Arabidopsis thaliana: one gene and its partners. The protein of the gene in region 1 interacts with the protein of each later gene in a pairwise test. Each region holds a gene or a part of one and is shown on either strand. Other genes may lie near its edges.

Region 1 (7,061 bases):
TTAGAAGCTGTTTTTGCAGTTTTGATCGCAACTATGGGTTTGTCCTTTGCTTGGATGTTTGGTGAAACAAAACCGAGTGGGAAAGAACTTATGATAGGTAAAGATTTCAGATTTTTACTCTTGAATTTCACTTTATTTGCTTTGATTTGAGTGCTTAAAAATCAAATCTTTGTGTTTATGGATAGGTATTTTACTACCGAGACTTAGCTCAAAGACAATTAGGCAAGCTGTAGGTGTTGTTGGCTGTGTTATAATGCCTCACAATGTGTTTTTGCATTCGGCTCTTGTACAATCGAGGAAAATCGATCCGAAGAGGAAATCCCGGGTTCAAGAAGCGCTTAATTACTATTTGATCGAGTCATCCGTCGCACTTTTCATCTCCTTCATGATTAACTTGTTTGTGACTACTGTCTTTGCAAAGGGGTTTTATGGAACTGAGAAAGCTAATAACATTGGCCTAGTTAATGCTGGTCAGTATCTTCAAGAAAAGTTTGGAGGCGGGCTTCTTCCGATTCTTTATATCTGGGGTATCGGGTTGTTAGCAGCCGGACAAAGCAGTACGATAACTGGTACATATGCTGGACAGTTTATAATGGGCGGTTTTCTGAATCTCCGGCTTAAGAAATGGATGAGGGCAGTAATAACAAGAAGCTGTGCTATTGTGCCTACAATGATTGTGGCAATCGTGTTCAATACTTCTGAAGCTTCCTTGGATGTTTTGAATGAATGGCTCAATGTCCTTCAGTCTGTACAAATTCCTTTTGCTCTTCTCCCTCTTCTAACCTTGGTATCCAAAGAAGAAATTATGGGAGACTTCAAGATTGGGCCTATTCTCCAGGTAAATTTCCACTTCTTTTACTACAAGTCTCCATAGGATACCACAATAGGTGAATTAGTGTTGAGTCTTATCGTTTTAGGTGTCTCGACTTTTTTAGTTTCACTGTTTGTGCAATTATCTTAGTAAACATGTAGAATTGAAAGTCCTTCAATGGAATAGAGAAGCATGAAGAGTGAGTATTTGTAAGTTGATTGGATTTATTGATTACATTGCAGAGAATAGCTTGGACTGTGGCTGCACTTGTAATGATCATCAATGGGTATCTTCTGTTGGATTTCTTTGTATCAGAAGTCGACGGGTTTCTGTTTGGAGTTACGGTCTGCGTCTGGACGACTGCTTATATCGCCTTTATAGTGTACCTCATTTCACACAGCAACTTTTTTCCTTCTCCTTGGTCATCCTCTTCCATAGAACTTCCCAAAAGAGTGTCCGTCTCCAATAGCTAGTAGCTGCACAAAAATAACTGCCCTCAAGACCATTTGTTACATGTCAAGAAGATACAGTAAACAAACTTCATCCACTATAGTCTTATACATATTGAAACGCCAAAGTGGTGATAAGAGTTAGCTTAGCTTTTTGTGAATGTTAACATCACAAATATGTAGTGGCAAAGTCTTTGTTGTACTTTTTTGTTTTTGTTAAGAGGATGTGCACATTCCAATATGATTTAAAGAGGCTTTTACATCATAGAAAAAAGCAGAAAACAAATCAATAAAAATCTAATAAACCATTGAAAAAATGGTCAAGCAAAAAAAAAAAAGTTTCTTAACTAGTGTTAGCAAAAATCATTGAACATACGCTAAAAGAGATAATACTCAATACTAATCTGCCATTCTAACAGATATATACAACCCAAAATTCAGGTAACTAACACTTCCAATACATAAGCTTCAAGCTTCTTTTACGCCATTCCTCTAATGGTAATATCTTCAAAGAAAGCAAGAGGTAGCTCCGGTGAAACAGGCATGGTCGCAACGCACTTGTACTGTACCAAGAGAATCAGATATTAGAATGTTCTTGTTGCAATATATCACAAGTTTAAAGTTACATCATTGAATTGTTGAATTTACCTTGTGTTGCTTGTACTTATTTCTAACAGCTTCTAGAGTGTTTCCTCTTCTGCTTAGATACAAGTCATGTATGATACCCACGCACACTTGTAGATCAGCTGCTTTGTACTTTGTGTATTCTTCTAGCATTTGATTCTGTTTGCATCACCAGAAGAGGATTTAGAATATAAAGAACTTTTTCTGTATAAGAACCTGTCATGGTTCTTAATTTGCTTACCCAAGGATGTTGTTTTGGACGGATGATGAACCGGGCAAGAAATACAGCTGAAGCAGACAAAAGAGATGGCAAATACTTCACACAGGTGTAATCTAACATACTCAATTCTGATAGATAGCAACAAAGGAACTCTATCTGCAATTGTGAGTCCTGCAAAGGCATGAAAAAAAAGAAGATTTAACAATAGAAATTATGAGATGCAAATGCCACAGTTTACAGGTACATCGATTTTGAGCTTACTTTGAAATCTTCTTGTGCAACCCGTGTAAACCGTCTGCACAAACACGACATAAAAAAGAGAATAACAATCAAAACAAGGGCAAGTAAAACCATGAAATCATAAGTTTAAACACCAGACTGTTTCAGAGTCGAACCTTAGGAATGTTTTGATGGTTGGGCTTCCTAATTCAAACTGCAGAGCAAGAAGTATATCCGCCTCCATCGACACCACTTCTTGTTTAGTAAATGTATTATCCGTAATGTAACAAAAATCTTCAACTTTAGGAGGACCTATCTCTTCATATTTCCTACTTTTTTAAAAGCAAAAATAAAGATTCCATAAGCCAACCATCTAAGACTCTTCACACCAACACAACAATAAACAAAGAGGATTAAGATGCTTACGACGCAATAAGCATTGCAGAAACTCCCACAAGCTGAAGCTTCTGCCTGTTAATAGGCTTCACAGACAAGAATCTATCAACATAGGAGATAGTGAGATAAAGCGTATCCGAAACAAGCTTGTACTCCTCAGCAACCTCCACTAACCAATCCACCAAAACCGCTCTCATGTGTGGAGTTAAATCACTCTGAACCTTTTCAATATAATCAGGTAGTGGTCTATGTTTCGGCTTCCCCTGAAAATTTTACCAATCCAAAAACAATAACCATTAGTCCCAAAGTATCAATCATCTCTAATTTCTCCAAACATATCATATAACCATAAGAGCAAGCTGTGATTGGACAAAATCTCAGAAACTTATCAAATCCACAACTTTAACCAAACCCATTAATCAATATCAAGTCCAACACTGTACCAATTCCAAAATAACATAAACTGATACCATAAGATCACTAAGATCAAAAATGATGGAATCAAGAAATCTACTAAAGATGATTTTTTTTTTACCTCCATTTCACGGAGATAAGCACAAATATCACTAGCAAAAGGCTCACACATCTGAGGATCAACAGATCTCGATTCGATTAGTACGCTAGCTTCAGGAATCATCAAAGCCTTCTTCATCTGCCTCTTCGAGGTATTAACACTTGTTTTAGCCTTAAGGGTCTCTCTTTCTTGATTGGGTACAGCAACGACATTGGACATATTCGGAAGCTCTCCGAGAACAACTCTCTTCTTACTAACTGGGTTTTCGTCTAACGCCATGGACGACGCTTTTCGTTTCGCCGCCGCTCTCGTCATCCTCGCACAGTTCTGATTCTCCGCCATGGGGTTATTTCAGTGGGAAAGTGAGATTTGAGAAAAGGGGTAATGTACAAGGTAGGTAAAAGGAAATGGGTTGAGTAAAAGCGCCATTTTTGTTGGGGAAGTTTTGAGATTTTTAGGTCATGGCGCTTCTCTGTGTAAATTTTCCGATTTCGAAATTTTTAGGGATTTGACTTTTGAGTATCCAAAATTTGGGGCTTTTTTGCAGATTTCATTTCCACATTTATTTGGCGGCTGTTTTCTCCTTTTTACCCTTCAAAAAGTTTCACTCCTATATTTAGACAATCATTATTGTTTTATTCACTTAATTAAAGATGAAAATAACAATCAATGAATGCTTTTAATTAAGGAAATTATTAGTAGTTGATTTGTTTTTTTTTCGGTTTTGGTTAAGATTCGGAATTAAGTGAGATGCTTTTAAAAAATTTAAAAAAAAATCGGTTTTGCATTTGTTTTTTTTTTATACTTTTTTTGGGTTTAGTTTTACATTTTTGATTTTTTTTTGGATACAGAAAAATAAATCCACTAAACCATATGAAAATATTTTGTCTAAACAATAATAAAAAAAAATCATTGAACTAGGAATTCATTTAACACCATTTCCTATATAATTTTTTCGACAAATTCAGCTATTAATTTAACAAAAATAATTGACACCAACGGACACTTATCTTATATTAGAGTTGTCAAAATGGGTGTGCGGCCCGTGGGCTGCCTGCGTCCAATACTTAATGGACCGAGTCATGGATAAAGCCATTATAAAACGGGCTTTAATGGTTATAGTCGTTAACGGATATGAACTTTAGCAGAGTAGATATGATGGACATGGGCGGCCCAATAGTCTTATAATGTTAGGTTAAATCGATTTGAGGAAAAATCGAATATTAAAATGGACATTATTGGATTGGACAAAGGTGTTAATGGATACGGACTATGTTCGTCCAATATCAAAATAGACATTATTGGATTGGGCTAATGGACATGGACACCCCGATTTGACAACTCTATCTTATATGATCCGCCTATCTGTTATTATCTAATAAACGTATGTTGGAAATGACCAGACCAATTCTACCAAATAATCTTTCCAATAAGGGTTCACTTGTAGAAATTGCCTTTTTATTGACTTAAATGAACAATTTCTGTTTTGTTTTGTTTTTGTCAAGGATCATAGCAAGTCTAAAGGCTTATCTTGTCATGTCTTCCCATTCATCTGGTTTCGATACCATTTGAAGTAAATTATTGACTACTAAAGTTTTGGCCTTCTAGGAACTTATAAATTTTGTCATAGGAGGCTCAATGATTAAACAAATAAAATCATGTCACATAAAATACTTCTTATCATATTGCATAATCGTATAAATTTCCAGAGTAACACATTAATTTGTCACCACAATGTTAATCAAGTAATAACACAATACATCTTCACAACACAAATTATTTGCTCCTGCTTCACTTCGATACATATAACATATGACTCCTCTAGCTTCAACTGTTGATCAGTGTCCCTTAGTAATCGAGCTCAGTAACAATTGGGAAATGAAAGATTGGTTCTGATCAAATGGTAACAACATCCTCCCAAAAGGTAACCGGAAGCTCTTGGTAGACAGGAATTGCCGCAACGTATTGGAACTGTACCATAAAAAGCAACATTTAAGTATAAATGATACTACTAATTAAATCAAATGATTTCATAATTTGTAATATGTCAATTACCTTATGTTGCTTGTATTTCTCTCTAACAGCTTTTGAAGCACCTTCACTTCTGCTCAGGTACAAGTCAAGCATGATCTCCACACACACTTGTAGATCAGCCGCTTTGTACTTTGTGCATTCTTCCAACATTTGACTCTGTTTTACATTACAAGCCATAGATTATTAGTGTCTCATTCAAAAGATTAACTCAACATATAAACCTGAAAAAGAGAGATTGAGACAAAAGTTCTTACCCAAGGATGTTGGTTAGGAAGGATGATGAATCGAGCGAGAAAGACAGCAGAAGCAGCCAACAAAGATGGAACAAACTTCACACAACTATAATCTAACATACTTAGTTCTGACAGATAGCAACAAAGAGGCTCTAGCTGCAAGTTTGGCACTTTGAAATCTTCTTGTGCAACCCTTATGAACCGTCTGCACAAACACAACAAAAGATGAGAACAAAGAACCATAAGATACAACCAAAAGTCAGTATTATTCATCACAATTCTAACCTTAGAAAAGTATTTGTCGTAGGCCTTCCTAGTTCAAACTCAAGCGCGAGAAGTATATCCTCTTCCATCTTCAACACATCTTGTTTCGTATAAGTATTAGCCGTAATGTAACAAAAATCCTCCACTTTAGGGCGACGTTTCTCTTCATACTTCCTATTTATATCAAATGCCAAAAAAGAGAAGCCACTCCATATGTAAGTTTCAACATGACAATGAATAGCAAAGAGAGTAATACAAGAGGATCAAAAACACTTACGAAGCGATAAACATTGCAGAAACTCCCACAAGCTGAAGCCAGTGCTCGTTAACCATCTTTAATGACAAGAATCTATCAATGTAAGAGACAGTGAGATAGAGTGTTTCAGACACGAGTTCGAACTCTTCAGCAACTTCCACTAACCAATCTACCAAAACACCTCTCTTGCTTGGTGTTATATCTTCTTGAATCTTTTCAATGTAATCATGTAAAGGTCTTAGCTTTGGCTTCACCTGAATATTCACCAAACCAAAAACACAAATCTTCAGAACATATCCACAAATTCTAAGTCCAAACAGAGAACAATCATAGAAACTCTTCAGATAAAGTATACTAAATTGACCTATTGAAACTTGTCAATGTTCTAAGTCCAAAAACAGAGCAAGTAGGAGATCTTATTACGTACCTCTAATTCACGGAGATACTCGTAGATATCTGAGACATAAAGTCCACACATCTGTGGATCATCAGACCTAGCGTCAATGTCAGAGCCTGATTGAATGTTCTCTTGAAACGCAAGTAGCTTATGTCGAATTTCCGCCCACTCTACCGGGGAAGCATCTTGAGGGTTATGGTCGGAATGAATCTGTTTATCTTTCTTAGACACCATATTTATCGAAAAACAAGAACACATCTTCGAAAGAACAACAATAAATCTTACACTAAGTCCTATATATAGAGTAGAAGACTCTATCCTAAAACAACCAGGTTTCAGAATTCAGATGAGAGATGAGACAGACTAAAAAAAAAAGGAAAATTAAACCAAAGCCCAAAACAATAACTTGTTGAACACGAAATCCCAAGTAATTAAAAAAAGGAAATTAAAAAAAAAATCGTTCCAAAACGTGTTAATTTAGAGAAATTACCTTTTTTTACTTGATTAAAAATCTCAAAAAGTAATTACATATAATTATCTTTTTTTAATCTAAAACTTGTAATTTTACTTTGGAGAAAATTGTAAAGTAGAACCCTAATTATAATTTCGATTTGATTTGCTTATTCCGCTGAGTTAGGCCTAAA
Region 2 (8,970 bases), 8.0 Mb from region 1:
ATCATCAGAATGTATTATGTGCCTCATGACCAGCCATGGTTATCTGTTGCAATTCTCTTGTCTATGATCTTGTCGTGGACTTACTTAAGCACTATCTTTCTAGCTGCAAGTGCTATGTTTCATTTAGTATGTAACTTGCAAGTTATTCACTTTGAAGATTATGCAAAGCTTTTAGAAGGGGAGTCTGAAATCTCTCTTTTCATCTATGAGCATATGCGTTTGCGTCATTATCTTTCGAAAATAAGCCATAGGTTCCGCATCTTTCTGCTTCTACAGTTTCTGGTTGTCACAGCTAGCCAGTTTACTACGCTTTTTCAGACCACTGCGTATAGTGGGCGTATCACTTATATAAACGGTGGTGATTTTGCAGTAAGTCTTCTTCTTATTCACTGATTGTTATGTTCTTATGTGGTGAGCTTAAGCTTGGAACATGATATGTTTTCAGGTCTCTGCGGTTGTCCAAGTTGTTGGAATCATTTTGTGTCTACACGCAGCAACAAAAATATCACACAGAGCTCAAGCAATAGCATCAGTTGCAAGTAGATGGCATGCGATGATGTCTTGCTCGTCTACAGATTCAACTCAGATAAGGGCATCTCCTAGTGGAGTTCATTTGGAGGCTACCACGAATCCGCCCATCTCCTTTCCGATTTCCCGTTCAGATAGTGATGTGGAATCAATGGATCACTACATGAGGATGCCTGTTACTAACCAGTTTCCTTCTTATATGTCCATGTCCTCATATCACAAACGACAAGCTTTCGGTGAGATTTGTTTCGCCCTTTTTTACTTGTACCTTTACAGCTAAACTCAGATATGATGATAGCTAATTAGATGATATGTTGCAGTGTTGTATTTGCAGATGAATCCAGGCGGGATAACGATATTCGGGTGGACAGTAGACAGGCATTTGATAAACACAATATTCTTCATTGAGCTCTCTCTAGTTACTTTTGTACTCGGCAAGACTGTAGTTTTCGGTACTGAATGACCAAAAAAAAAAAGGGTTGGTGTATCATGCATTATTGCATAGCTTTTTTACCTTCTGCCATATAGTGAGATTCTTCAATTGATAGGAGAAGATATACTTACATGAGCGTCTCTTAACTTTTTTTTTTTTTTTTTTTCCCGCGAGCCTCTCTTAACTTGGTTACGTGAAGAGTGTACAAAGCTATATTGTACTAGATGGAGGAGGAGTTTCTTGATCTTGATCCTGTTGTTGGACTCGTCGTTTTTGTAAAATCCATACTTGTTCACTCTCAAAATATGTCCGAACATTTGGATTTTTTATAAATAATATCATATTTTATGGCAATTTGCAAATTTATAACATATGGAGTAAATTGTAAATTATATAATTAAAAGGTATTAGTATATAAATAGAAATAGAATATTTCTAAAAATATTCTTTTTTAGACTAGAAAATAGAAATATACATTGGAGAGAAAGCAACTCTATTTTAGAGTAAGATATAGAGCTATACATTGGAGATTGTCTTACAAAACAAGCACTGTCAGAAAGCCATAGCACTAACTGGCCAGCCTAGCTTGTGAACACATTAAACCTGCAAGGATTCTCAGTGGCGAAAGGAGGAAAATCATCTTCACAAATCACCACGGACCCTCAAAGTGAATAAAGAAAGCATGAATGATATTCTGAGATACAAATATTCCAACCTCCGCTTAAGCAGCAGCCCTCGCCTAAAATGTGGTAATTCCAAGGTATTTGAGAATATCAAGGTTGTATTCCAACTGCTATCTTCGACCGGTGTGCTGTACTTCAGCCAAACAGACCGCCAGACCCAAGTTCGGTTTGCGTTAATTCCTTCCTACGTTGCTCTTCCAAAGGATCAGGGCTCTTTACCATTCTCCTCCCACGCCTAGGCATAGAAGAAAAAGTAAGAGACAGAATTAAAGTCAACCACTGATCGTTTCAGTTTAGATAGACCTCAGTACCTGTCTTGGGCATGTTGAGCAGGAAAAGTAGGCATGAAATCTTTGGATTTTGGCAGAGGGACTTCGCGGAACCAATCATGCTTTAGAGCTTCATTAACAGTTATTCTCTGCAGAAGAAGCCACAGAGATCCAAAAGTCAAGGAACAATTAAGGTGCATACTGGATTAACATGCATGCAACAGATATATATTTTCTATTACCCTTTCAGGATCGTACGTTAGGAGCTTGTTCAGTAAGTCAAACCCAGCATCGGACAGAACTGGTGCACCAGTGAACGAAGTGGCTGGGAATTTCTTACGTAATAGGTTATACCTAAAAGTACAGGTAAGCGGTGAGAAGAGTGACATAACAACTATGAAAACAATATAAATCCACTAATGAGTCAGAGAGCCACACCACATCATCTAAAGCTAGAAAGCCTGGGAACAATATTAGAGACTTTAAGCATATACTAAGGTTATCCTTCCATATAAACTGAAAATAAAAGGAACTATAAATACTTACTGATGCTTGACAAAGTTGACCTTGACTCCAGGTAGTTTAGAGAACCCAGGCCAAATAGATTCATTGGGAGTACCAAGGATTCTGAAAATCTGTAAATTAAAGAAGGAGTAATTTATAAGCTGTATGTGGTCCCAGGATGGCTGGAGATCCAAATCAAAACCGATGTTTAAAATACCTTGTCAAGTTGATCAAACTCCGTTTTCCCATTGAACAATGGCGCCTTCATTAATAGTTCTGCCATGATACAGCCCAGTGACCACATGTCAATGGCTGTAGAATATTGTTTTGCTCCCAAGAGAAGTTCAGGTGCCCTGGAAAAACAAATGCAGTCGTTGGGCTTGGTCCCGGAGGAAGTGATTATTGCTAAAACAAGAAGGGAGAGTCAACACAAGGAACAAAACAAGTCAAGGAAGTTGAAGCACGTATATTTCCTAATGTGCCCAGATTACGTTGGTTCATGGTACGTGGTGTCCAAGCAAATACCGCAAAAGTGTTAAGTATTTAATGGCTAAGCTGGCATATTATGAAGACTATTCTCAAAGAGGAAAGATAAGGATCCAAGGCAGTCACAAAACTCAAGTTTGTGGTGCCATTGGAACAAATATCAGATACCTTGGAACACCATTTAAAAACAGGACTTTAAAATCATTGATCCTAATGTGCAGAAATAGAAAAGGGAGTACGGTGTAGTACAGCTATACCAGAAAGGAGACGTGGCACCTAATGTTATACTAACAATGGCCAAAAAAAAACAAGAAAGTCCACCAGAATTCAAATAACAATCGTAAATGTAAACACCACTTAATTTTTTTATAAACAAGAATAGGGTAAAAACGCACTTTACCTGTACCAAAGCGTAACAACCAGATGAGTATAAGGCTTGAGCGGGCTGCCATATTGCCGAGCCAAACCAAAGTCACATATCTTCAACTCACCCCGATTGTTTAAAAGCAGGTTAGATGTTTTCAAATCTCGATGAAGCACCCAGTTGTCGTGAAGATACTTGACGCCCTCTAAAAGTTGAAGCATTAAGCACTTAACTTCACTTTGACTAAAACGCTGCTTCATTGTCTCCATCAATGCTTTAAGATCATGTTCCATGTATTCCATCACCATGAATATGCTATCAAGGCTGCTACCCACGACCACCTCTTTAACATCCACTATTGATGGATGATGAAAAGAAAGGAGGATGTTAATTTCCCTAAGAGAAGTCAATGGAAAACCTTCTCTTTCTTTTTCCATCTTCACCTTCTTCAATGCCACAATTTCGCCTGTCTTCTTATCCTTTGCTCTATAAACAACACCATAAGTACCTTCATCGATCTTATTTAACCTCTCAAATTCATCAACACTTCTACAACCCTGGAGCATGTTTATACTTCTCAGTGGAGTACTGGCAGGTTCAGGTGTCTCATGCCGTACATATTCGTCATCTGAATCTGTTTCACTAAGGCTGTCAACAGAGTTTTCTCTTCTGTGTTCCTCCTCATCTATTTCCATCTTGTCACTCTTAACAGCATCTCTCTCCTCAAAATCATCTCTGCTTCCCGGTAAAGAATGGTGCCCCCTTTCATCGGAATCAGATGATCTATAACCTTCCCTCACTAACTCCCCGACCTCAGGTGTTTGAGAGGTATTGCGAAATCTCCCCTGCACGGGAAATGGTTTCTTCCTCCTTTTCTTTTCCCCAACTTCTTCTACTATTTCAACTTCATCAGTTGGAGAACTATTACCAGCAGCCCACCTAGAGGATGATATATGCCGTGTTGGCATGTTTTCATCCTCTTCCAGGTGTGTTGCATGCTCTTGTTTGTCATCCTGCTCAGCATTTGATGACTGTTCTACCACACACAAAGAGGACATCTCTACCGAAGGTGACAAAGCAGGCATAGAAACCGCAGAAACACCAACTTCCACAGGATCTTGATGCATGTCACTCTTTGCAGGTGAATAATGAGAATTACCACCACAACTGACACTAGGTGACTGGCTTGACCTCTTAACTAGTGGTGGTGGGGGAGGAAGAGGAGTGACCTCCACAGGTTTTTCATTTCTGCTCAAATTACTTCTCTCATGGTCATCCCTATCCCATACTATTGGTGAAAACTTTCTCTTCTTTTCCACAGGACTTTGAGCTCTATTCTCTACCTCCTTCACAACTCCATTAACTTTCGCCAGTGATTCCGACTCAATCAAATCATCCGACCCACTCTCACTAGAGAGCTCGCCTGGTTCCCTGTCCACAGACCTAGCTGAAAACCCGCATCTTTTAGGACCAAGATCGATAAATACTTCTCTACTACCTGGATTGCTCTTCGATAACCGAAACCCACTACTAACCATTTTGTTCTCTTCCTGTCTAGCTCCAGACTTAATTCTATCTCTATCCCCGTGTCTTAGATTACTAACCCGTCCCTTTCCATTATCAATAGCACCGTTCCTAACATGATTATAATCCTCGTTCGCATAAGCACTATCCCGCCTGGAAAATCTAGAATTCGATTCCTGGTCTCTCAGTTCATGGTCTGGATATCTTATATTCCTCCCAGCCGCCATACAGAACTTCGGTGAGAAAGGGACCCAAACAAACCCAAAATCCTAATTTGACGAACTCTTAAATCTGCTACTAGCTAGCTGTGTTCAAAATCAGAATTGCAGAGACTAAACCTTGAGATTTCAAAAGTTGAATTACGCACCGATTTAACAGCTACTTGCGATCAAATCGCTTACAATTGAAGCAGAACTTGTGATCAGAACCGCGAAACCCTAGAAACCGAAAGCGAGACCCGTGGATACGGAGGAAGAGAGGACGAAACGAGAAGAGAACTCAGAATTGGAAAGTGAAAATACGATTGATAAGGAGTTCGTAAAGTTCCGATTGACGACGGGTGGATATAGATTACCGTGGAGAGGGAACGAACAATGGCGGAGAGAGAGAGAGAGAAGAAAGTTTCTCGTCGAAAGCTCAAAGCTTTAGGTCTCTAAAATCGTGTTTTTGTATTCGCCCCCTCTATTTTATTGTTTTAGTATAAGGAGCCCCTTGATGAAAAAAAAAAAGGTATAAGGAGCCCCTAACTTTTGTAATTAATCAATGTGTTTCTTTTTATTTTTATCTCTAAAATATTTTAAAACTTCTACGACAATATTATTGAAACCAAAAATATATTTATTTATTTAAATTTAACATGTTATGGTCTTGAGTTTTTTTTTTGGTAGGCTGTTATTGTTTGAGTTTTTATCGTGAGATTTTACCATCAAATTGGCAAAACAATTTTATTTTCGTGGGATAGTCACACGACTCACACCCAAAATTAATCGAATTATTGTCATCTTAACCACAAAGACTATTATCTTGAAAGTCGATGTTGGAGCACTTGGAACATAAGAACAATCTCATTGATGATTTCTAAACATAAGTCTTTTATTTTAAAGAAAGAAAATTTATTATAAAAGAATGTGTGGGCTTTTTGATTAGTGAAAAAGTCATCTCTAAAATACCTTATATAGGAAATTTTGGAGAGAATTTCTTAACTATTCAAGAAACTCACATAGTTAGATAATATTATTTTTGTTGTTTTAATGTTAAGAAACTTATATCTAGAAACCACAAATAAAATTGCTCTAAGACATGAAAACCTTAATATTACCATCAAATCATTTAAATCAAAAAACATATGTTAATTTTTGGAGTCATGTTAACTTTGATAATTATGTACCTAATATTGCCGAAGGCCAGTCAAAACTAAAATGTCTAATTTCAATGTCCGAAAAAATGATTGTCACGGTTTGTGGCTGCATAATGTTTAGGGGACCACATAAACCGTTTTAGAACATTATGAATATTCATAATCTCTCAATCACGAACTAATCATTTCTCTTCTTGTTTGTGTTCATGACTAGCTTGGTCGAAACATATGAGTCATCTTTCATTCTAGACTTCAATTTTTTTGCTCTTTACAAAATTTGACAATCAAAATCACTATCAAGTACTAGTACTATTCCATCATATCTGAGATTATCTTTATTTGATTTGTGTGGATGTCGTAATCCGCAATTAGAATTTTGTGGTTGTTTCGTGAAGGTCTTAAATCTTGTTAGACGAACAGTGATCAAGTGAAAAGTATTTATGTATTTCAGTATAGTTTCAGTACAATGTGTATCCCCTTTTACAATGTCAATTGACTCTTATTTATACAAATACATCGAATCAAACGAGTTAAATGATTCGCTGACTTCACGCCGCGGATCTCGCCTCATTAACTTCGCACGTTACGAGTCGTCAGCTCGGATCGTAAATGCTTATCATTTAAGTTGAGATTCCTCCGTTACCAAATTAATGTCGGATCAACCTTTGAACTGCTGGGCTTACATTGTGCCTTAAAGCCGGGCCTGACCTTATCTTAGAAGCCCAAAATTGCGGGGTCGGGCCAAATGCGAGATCAGACATCTGGTAAAAAGCCCAAAACTTTTGCTTTACCGGTCACATCAAAGATTATGAGTTTCCCCAAATGTGTTTGTGTCAATTAAAAGGTTAGCGACATAGTTTTAAGTGAAGTTAGCAATTAAAGTGCGGATAGTTGGCCACTCGTGGGACCTTGATTAACTTTGAGAGTTCTTGGCTCAATTTCTTTTATCTACTTCCCCAAACAAAACTTTTTTTTTTTTTTTTGCGTTAGTTATTGAATATCACTAAATCCATACGATTACATTCTAATGAAAATAGACAATTATTGACACCAACAACGAGAGGGAAGCTTAAAGGAGAAAGAAAAAGAAGAAGGCAAGTGACCACTCCTCCTTATATAATCAGCTTTCTCCGATGTCTTCACCGCCTTTTCGTTTAACTTAGCCTCCGCATTCGCCCTCCTCTCTTCCGCTATCCTTTTCGTCGCAGCTAGCTTGTTGGCCAACTTCTCCTCTGCCCTTGCTTTCATCCTCTCCGCCTTCACCTAAACACACGTTCACACATTGTTTTAAAACCTTTTCAATCCATAACGTTATTTTTCTCTTTAACAATTAATAGATCCAATCCATATCAAACCAATCCACACTACTTTGTCTTTTAAAAAACTAAAAAAAGACTGAACCGAAATTCGGATTGAACACGTGTTGACAACTCTCTTTCCACAATTAGACAGAACATCTTACCTCCATTTTCTTCATCTCCATCTCAGCCTTTCTCTTCTCGTGATTCTCCCAAGCTTGTATCTTCACTTCCTCTCTCTTATACCTAATTCCACACAAAAAAAAAAAACTCTCAAACACGAATCACATTAACACATATTAAAATCAACCATAAATTTAACCAATTAACGTTAATCACCTAGCCATGAATTTAGCACGTTCTGCTTCATCCCAAGCCATGGCTCGAGCTTCCATAGCACTCATAGCCTTCTTACTCTCCACAAAACCATTAACCTTCTCACTATTATTACTCTCTACCCTCCTAACCTCCGTCACCGTCTCCATCACAACCCCCACCGCCTCACCACGTTGTGAAGCCCTCACCGGTGAAGTCACAGGACTCCTCCCAACCGGTGTAGTAGCTCGCACCGGTGTAGCTGTTCTAGAAGGCTCTTGACTACCAATAGGAGTCATCTCAGTCCCCATATCTCTCACACAAACGGATCTAATCACAGCCGTTGGATTAATACTACTTTCTTTCCTCCAAACAGATTCACCACAATCAACATTCTTCGTCTCAACCTCCGGTCTTCCCGCCGCCATCTCTTCATCATCATACTCAACGTACTGATCTTCTCCTTCACGTTCTCTCTGTGAAGCTGAAGCTATAAGTCTAAGATCATCCGCGTTCGAGTTTCTCGGCTTATTACTTCTTGAGTGATGACTACTCTTGTCACCACCTCCACCACCTCCACGAGCAAACCCTACACCAGAAAGCCATTTCTGAGCATCGTCCCATTTTGACGGCGCTGGCTTCCCCATAGTAGACCGGTGATGGTTTGGTGTCCGGTTCGAACCTTTCTGAAACTCAAAACCGTTCGATATCTCCGGTGTCGCTGGTCCTATCCATCCTTTGTTATCTTCTACACTAGATCTCATTCTTACGAATAAAATGACACAGAGATCTATTAGAAGGTTTTTATCTATATGGATAGATAGAGAAATGACTTAGAAGGATAAAAATAAAAGATGTGGCGAAGCAATCAAAGAGTCGTCACTCTCATAGGAACCCACTTGATGATGAAGTTGAGAGATTTCAGAAATGTGACATTAATGTCCAGATGGGTTGTTGTAGAGACGAGAATGATAGTGTCTTTATAACTCTCTAATTATCACTATGTTTTTTTCTATCTAAATAGCATAAATTGATATAGACCCACTATTTTTTGTTTTTTTACTTTAAATTAATGTTTTTATTAGAATGCTCAGATCTGGTTTGTGTTAAAAGCTTAGATTAATCATGTGTACGTGGGGAGAAAGTGACTAAGTAATCACCATTAAAGTAAAGCGATGATAATAATGCAAATGCAATGGGAACAATCAC
Region 3 (7,248 bases), about 10 Mb from region 1:
AATTGCTTTTCCTTCAGCGGTCATGGTCTGGTAAGTCATCAAACATAAAATGCTGCATTGTTCAGGTTCCAGTATCTGCATTTTAATCAAATTCTGTTTGAAACAGTTTGGAGCTTTGGTCCTTCGAGCTTCTGGTTCTTGCCTCAGGCCTTCTTCCTAACCCGGTTTTAGAAACTTCGGTGCTTTCAATCTGGTAGATTTCGGTTATCTTTGTCTTATGGTACTCAGAGTTTGTGTACTTCTTCTTTATATTTGATCAACCTCATTTCTGCAACTTTTCAGTCTAAATACTTCCCTAACAATCTGGCAGATTTCGGTTGGTCTTGGTGGCGCTGCAAGGTCAGTAACAAAATGTATCCAAGAGCTCATAAAAAGAAAAATCTCATCAAACCAACCTATCTCACTTTGTGTGTTTCTGTTAACTTGCAGCATAAGGGTCTCAAACGAGTTAGGAGCAGGGAATCCACAAGTGGCAAAACTGGCTGTATATGTCATTGTAGGCATAGCAGTAGCCGAGGGAATTGTGGTTGTAACAGTTTTGTTGTCGATTCGGAAGATCTTAGGTCATGCTTTTAGCAGCGACCCGAAAATCATCGCATATGCCGCATCAATGATACCGATTGTTGCATGTGGAAACTTCCTTGATGGCTTACAATGCGTACTCTCAGGTTTTGAATGATAGAAGATTGGCTTTGGTTCCTTGTTTATATATGTCCGGTTCGAATCCTGGTCAAATAGTTTTGATTTATGGTTGCAGGGGTTGCTAGAGGATGTGGATGGCAGAAAATTGGAGCATGTGTGAATCTTGGATCATATTATCTTGTTGGAGTTCCATTAGGATTGTTACTTGGTTTCCATTTCCACATTGGTGGTCGGGTAATAATCTTAAACTCTCCTTCTCATTCTCAAGTTCAAACACAAGACTAGTTTTATAGAAACTTTTATTTTGTGGTATTTTCATATTGTAGGGGCTTTGGCTGGGAATCGTAACAGCATTGTCTGTTCAAGTGTTGTGTCTTTCCTTAGTCACTATATTCACAAACTGGGATAAAGAGGTAAAACCTTTTAACTGATCGGCTCAGTTTTATATGTATAATAACTCTGCCATAATGTGATTCTGTTTCTTGTTTTACATGATTAGGCAAAGAAAGCTACGAACAGAGTCGGATCTTCAGATGACAAAGATGGTGACGTCCAATGATCAATAAACGTCTGAGGAAAAAGCAGTTGCAAATGAGCTTAATGAGTGCTTTATTCTTGTATGCCCATATGAACTTATTGGGAATTTCTAATTGATGTGGCCGTACATTGGTCTTTAGAAAACTTTACCATTGTTACATAGTTATTGAAATTCCTTGGATGTGTTTCCATTCTCATCGAGCATTAGTGTAATGAGATCAAAAATTCATATATGTAATACACCAACGTGTTCGATACTAAAAATTCTGGACTTTAAATTGGAAATGAACGAAGAATGAGTTTGGGATCAGAGCTCTCTTCTAAACATAGGCCAAAAACAGAGATTTTTCTATGAAGGGTGTACATGATGATTAGTTAATCATCTGTGCTTTATATTCTTTATTTTAGACAGAAAGAATGATTCAAACTATTCGTCATCACTAGTTGTGATATGAAAAATTTCAGGAATTACTGAACGGAACCAACCAGTAAGAGAGATCCTATAGGCTATAGGAACCTGAAGAACGACGTCAAGAAGAAGCCTGTTACGCGATATCCTATAGGAACTCGAGATCAAGTTTCCTCTTCAGATGAGATCTATCTGCACTGCAAATCCAAAAATCAAGAATTCATCAAAAGTTTTCATTTTTTAAGCTGACCAAGAACTGACTGTAATAAAACCAATTGTTTTTACCTGGTGATGGTTGGTCGGTTTGGTGGCCGCTCAGCTAAGATGGTGAAATCTAAAGACATTGGTGCTTGTCCATCATGGCTAGCTTGTCTCATGACATCAACACTCTGGTCCTTGAAACCATTACCAGACTTTCCTCGGTCAGGCATCACTCTTCTAAACTTATGTGCTGGTGACAGCACTTTAATGGCTTCAAGTTTACTATCAGATGACTTAGCATCTTGCTTGGAAACTGGTCTTGGGAGCTTTAAAGGGTCAGTAGGTGAAGGTGCAGATGTGAAGTACCTTTAAAAAGAAATCAAGGTTTGAGAACAAAACTAAATAACCTGTTCTTATGCATTATCCATAGGGGAGATTTTTAGGTACCTGTGTTTTAGAGCCTGCTGAATCGATATTCTAGACTTGGGGTCATAGGTGAACATCTTTGACAACAAATCTAAAGCATCCTCACTAACCGTTGGGAGTAAAGAACGTAAAGAAGGAGCAGGGACAAATTGATACTCTACATAATCAGGAAGGCAGATCATGTCAGGCCACTGATCTGCTTTTGGAGTCCCAAAGGCAGCAAAGATTTTGCTTAATTGATCAATATCACTGTTTCCCTGCAATGGAATAAGTAAGTTAGATAAACAAGTAGACAGATGCACTGGATTACTACACAATCAAAATGGAGGTTCACCTGAAGAAATGGTCTGCGTAATAGAAGTTCAGCAAAAATGCAGCCAGCAGCCCAAACATCAACTGCACCATCATATTGTTTTGCACCAAACAAAAGTTCAGGTGCTCTATACCATCTAGCAAACACCTATGAAAATTGCTAAAGGACATCAAGATACGAAAGATAGCAGAACTACTACATAAATAGCATTGTCACAACAAACAAAGCATACCTGGTGGGTAAACTTACGACCTGGGCTACCAAATATACGTGCTAACCCAAAATCTGCAAGTTTCAGCTGTCCATTGGGTCCTATCAACAAGTTGTTTGGCTTCATATCTCTGAAACAAATACGAATGATCATCCATAAGTTTAAATCAAAACAGACCTTATTAGAGATAGAACAAGTTCTGCTTCTAAGTTCCAATGATAGTACCTGTGCAGAACCCATTTGCCATGGCAATATTCAAGACCTTTCAATATCATTTGGAGGTAAGATTTGACATCACCAGGCGAAAGATAGAGATTACGATCTCGGATAACTGCTTCGAGATCAGTCTCCATGAACTCAAACACGATGTGCAAATTCTCCTTGTGAGGAAACGCATCAATCAACTCAATTATATGTGGATGCTTAAGCTCTTTAAGTAATTTGATTTCTCTAAGAGCTGTTACATTCACACCTTCTTTCTCTTTACCAAGTCTTATTTTCTTGATCGCTACAGTTTCTCCATTCTACAAATTGCCACAACAAAACAAATCAGCTTCCTTATACAAACTTAAACAAAAACTACACACTTTAAATCCATTAAGAACATAAAAATGCAAACTTTGACTTCTAAGAACACATATTAGTGTAAAGATCGAAACTTTAGCTGATTTAAAACCTAAGAGCTATCAGATTTAACCAAATTGTTCCCAGGAAGAGACACGTCAAAAGACACACGACAGAATTGGAACCCTAGTTTCGATGGGATCGACAAAAAATATGAAGAATTGAGAGAGGAATCATCTTCACCTTTGTATCAGTAGCTTTGAAGACGACTCCATAAGTACCTTGACCAAGAACCTCTCGCTTTAGATACCTATCAGCAACTTTCTTCGGCTGTTCCATCTCCGGAACTCTCTAATCGGATCACAAGCAATTGATCGAAACTGATCTTAATTAATTTGTTATCGTTAACGTTGAGGTATCTTATGATGCTCTGGAGAAAAAGTAGCCGTTAGAGCAATTACAGAAGGAATCGACATTTTTAGGGGAAAATATTGAAAAGTAAACGAAAAAGGAAAGAGACGCTCTAAAGCTAGAAATAAAACGAAGCTGGAAGCGTCTATCGTAACGACGTCGTTTAAAGGTTTATAAATGAAAAGCAAAATTGTTCCGGTTTACTCAACATTGACTCGTCAATTATTCTTCGGTTTAAAATGTTATAAGTTAGTGGTTAAACAAAAGATGATTGTGAATATTAACATTTTTTTAGCTGTATGAATATTGGAACATTGCCTAAACATACTTAGAAATTAAAAAAAAAATCCAAGAAAATAAAAAGCTGCATCAACAAGTTGCCAAATTAACCTTGCTCATATTTTCCGCAGCATGGACCAGGAGAACACTACCGGATTAACTTCCGTTTCATGAAGCGTGGAATCAAGCCCAAATATAAGGCCCAAATAACTATTCCGAGAAGGTTAGACAAGCAACTGTTAACTTCTGGGCCCATATAATGGGCTCATAAGAAAGAGATGCAGCCCAATCATTAAAGTTTGCACAAATAATTAGGCTGATCAGTCCACTTTTTTTTAGGTGACCAAAGAAAACAAAGTAAGCCTAACATTTGAGTATGAACCAGAAAAATTTAGGATACTTCAGGGTCAAGTATTTTGCTAGTGAACATTTTTCATCATACAAATTTTTATTTAAACAACTCAAAAAAAAACTTACACGATGGATAAAAAAACACACTTAAAAATAAGCCATTGAATTGTGAAAGAGACGAGACTCGTGAGGGTAATAAGACAAGTTCGTTGTAATAAATCTAGCAATAGATTCTGCTCAGACAGAGAAATAATTACCTGCTTTCGTGCCCACATCATCAGACTTATAATCCTGACCGTACATCAACCTATTTCACTATTTCGTGTTGAAATTTCTAGTTGTTAGGGCTAACAAATGATTTAGAATTAGGTCACCAAACGGAAACACTTGTACATTATTTTCTAAAAGAAATAAAGAATGGTCGGCCAAATTCATTTTCAAAGTTACATCTTAAAAATGTAGTGGACTAGTAGTTGGCAGGAACGATAATAATTGTTATTTTTATTATCTTTACCCAAAAAAAAAAAGAGTGAAGCACAAAAGCCGAGAAGGACGCATGTGACGCGTAGGGAATCTAACACAAACAATGTCAGACCCTTCCCATGTCTTTTCAGATGCACCCACCTGTTCCTTTTTTTCTTTTCTTTTTATTCTTCTATCACGAATATCTAAACCACTATAATTACGACTCTCTATCTATCATTTCTTCCAAAACATGACGTGGCCTCTTCTCTCTCTCTCTTTCCTTCTCTCTAAGTATGTTTAGGGTTAATAATTAGGGTTCCTCCTCTCTTTTGTTCTGTCTTTATATCTCCTTCATAGCTCTAATGTAAGAGATTTACCTCTTTTGGTGTTTTTGTTAATCCACGTTCTCATCAAAACTTTCTCATTGTTTTATGAAGAGTTAAAGGTCTTTACAGTTTGCTTATGTCAGATCCATAATATATTTGACAAGATACTTTGTTTTTCGATAGATCTTGATCTGACGATGGAAGTAGAGCTCCTTAAAGTTCAAACATGAGTTGAGCAGGGTAAAGAAAAGCTGCTAAGCTATGGATCCCATAAGCCCTAATCCTTGTAAAGTAAAAAAGGATTTGGTTATATGGATTGCATATCTCAGGAGCTTTAACTTGCCCTTTAATGGCTTTTACTCTTCTTTGGATTGAAGGGAGCTCTACATCTTCTTTCACCTTCTCTATTTTTTATTTTTCTTTATTTCTACTCAACAATTATTTATTCGGATTCATCTTTAATTTTCCGTTATAATTTCTTTTTGGTAAGGATTATTCGCTATAATTTGAGAATTATATGGTTATTATTTTGATTCCGAAGCAATGTTTAGCGTGTTATTTGTTTTTCTTGTAAAAAACTAGGGTTTATGCAACTGCCTCGGGTAGATGAGAAGATCCTTGGTTCTTTGGAGACTTTTAAATTTTGCAATCTTTGCTGCCATATGCACTGACTATCTTTGTATGATTATTCTCATATCTAATCTAACAACTAAATCCTGTTCTACAATCACAGTCCTTTAGTTAATTGCGAAAATAGTTTTCTGTCATATATGTAAAATGATGATCGGATCGGATTTAAAGGACCAAAGATATTCACTAACTTATACGATTCATTTGTCAACTCGAGTACTTGATTCCTGTCTTTACACAATGAAGATTATAAACTTGAAGAACATTAAAAGTTAATAAAAGTTAAGATTAAGATATAAAAATAACACATATCAATAAATTGAATGTCTTTTCGGATCACCTGTAGGAGTTGGCCATATAATTTGAAATCGAACGTAAACTACAGCAAATTTTGTTATTATAGTTTGATTGATAAAGAAATGGTTTTAGGCAGAATAATTGAAACTGAACCCTAGCTAAACAATTTCTTTTAAGGGAGTCATCATGTAAACCAAATTTCACTTAAAAAAATGATGTTTTAAACATATAATTCGACAATTTTTAGTTTACTAAAAAGATTATGATTTTTGTTTGTTTTAAATTTAATATTGTTATACTTCCATAAACAAGTTACATGTGCTACAGTTGTGAGTCTCGAACTTTGAGTCTCCAACCCAAAAGAAATCGAGATACAGTTATGTGCTAGTTTAAAGAGTAAACTTACTCAAAAATATCCGAAAAACACAGGTAAACTGATCCCAAAAACAAAATTCCGAAAACTTAGATCACCATGTCGATCCGGTCCAAAAGTTTTCATAAGAACTATCAACCAGCCTTCGATGTTTCAGACTTTCAGTCTATGGTTTCAGCACAATAAGATAATCTTGTAGACACATAGTATGTCTTCAAACATGAGGTCTCTTGGTGTTGTATGTGTAGAAACTTATTTGGCTGGTCTTGCCTTCGTTGCTAAACTGGGATGTAGACATTTTCATTATTTTGATTGTACTTTCGAAGTTTTCAAAATTGGGCCTCGTTTTTATGACCCTTCATGGAAAAAATAAAGTTGTCAATCTTCCTCTTACGACAGAAGAGGTCTGTTGCAGATCTGGACCAAACCCTGTAAGCAAAATATCCATTAACATAAGGTCAAATCTAGCCCATTAAATAGGCCCAAATAAAGGCCTAATAGTGTAATGTCAACCCTAATCGTTCAATTCTCTCACCATATTTATGTAACGACTGACTGATTTAACTAAGCCTTCTATTGGGCCTTTGGCACACAAATGTTGTAAGAGCTACTTGTGTTCGAATGAATAGTTTTTTTTTTTTTACCAACGTATGTATCGAGCAATTTCTCGTTATGAGAATGATTCAATTATTTTGAATTGTTAATTTGTTAACAATGCCGTAAAAAAAACTGAATCTTAAACCAGAAGAAGAAGTGGAAGAAGTTACTGATTATTTTATTTTACAAATGTCTGATAATATAATACAGATTTCG

The links. The genes of interacting proteins can lie anywhere in the genome.
Region 2: the proteins of CYCA3;4 (region 1) and AT1G67580 interact in a protein complementation assay, tested with the Arabidopsis thaliana proteins (one large-scale study listed by BioGRID).
Region 3: the proteins of CYCA3;4 (region 1) and CDKD1;1 interact in a protein complementation assay, tested with the Arabidopsis thaliana proteins (one large-scale study listed by BioGRID).

The regions. Positions count from the first base shown.
Region 1 is NC_003070.9:17,303,266-17,310,326, reverse strand, and holds CYCA3;4 (CYCLIN A3;4), read right to left. Parts: upstream 3,751-7,061; 5' UTR 3,576-3,750; coding exon 3,255-3,575; intron 2,983-3,254; coding exon 2,750-2,982; intron 2,656-2,749; coding exon 2,500-2,655; intron 2,400-2,499; coding exon 2,366-2,399; intron 2,276-2,365; coding exon 2,126-2,275; intron 2,044-2,125; coding exon 1,909-2,043; intron 1,824-1,908; coding exon 1,740-1,823; 3' UTR 1,479-1,739; downstream 1-1,478. Other genes in the region: NRAMP2 (NRAMP metal ion transporter 2), read left to right, coding at 1-97, 186-838, 1,054-1,284; CYCA3;3 (Cyclin A3;3), read right to left, coding at 5,130-5,204, 5,289-5,423, 5,522-5,705, 5,786-5,938, 6,042-6,274, 6,448-6,651.
Region 2 is NC_003070.9:25,325,948-25,334,917, forward strand, and holds AT1G67580 (Protein kinase superfamily protein), read right to left. Parts: upstream 5,515-8,970; 5' UTR 5,019-5,514; coding exon 3,304-5,018; intron 2,771-3,303; coding exon 2,635-2,770; intron 2,549-2,634; coding exon 2,460-2,548; intron 2,268-2,459; coding exon 2,156-2,267; intron 2,063-2,155; coding exon 1,956-2,062; intron 1,880-1,955; coding exon 1,780-1,879; 3' UTR 1,335-1,779; downstream 1-1,334. Other genes in the region: AT1G67570 (zinc finger CONSTANS-like protein (DUF3537)), read left to right, coding at 1-369, 446-764, 849-991; AT1G67590 (Remorin family protein), read right to left, coding at 7,190-7,411, 7,611-7,692, 7,786-8,525.
Region 3 is NC_003070.9:27,711,507-27,718,754, reverse strand, and holds CDKD1;1 (cyclin-dependent kinase D1;1), read right to left. Parts: upstream 3,846-7,248; 5' UTR 3,643-3,845; coding exon 3,547-3,642; intron 3,264-3,546; coding exon 2,965-3,263; intron 2,870-2,964; coding exon 2,761-2,869; intron 2,676-2,760; coding exon 2,550-2,675; intron 2,473-2,549; coding exon 2,237-2,472; intron 2,156-2,236; coding exon 1,874-2,155; intron 1,786-1,873; coding exon 1,737-1,785; 3' UTR 1,335-1,736; downstream 1-1,334. Other genes in the region: AT1G73700 (MATE efflux family protein), read left to right, coding at 1-30, 107-193, 283-339, 430-668, 758-876, 969-1,055, 1,142-1,201.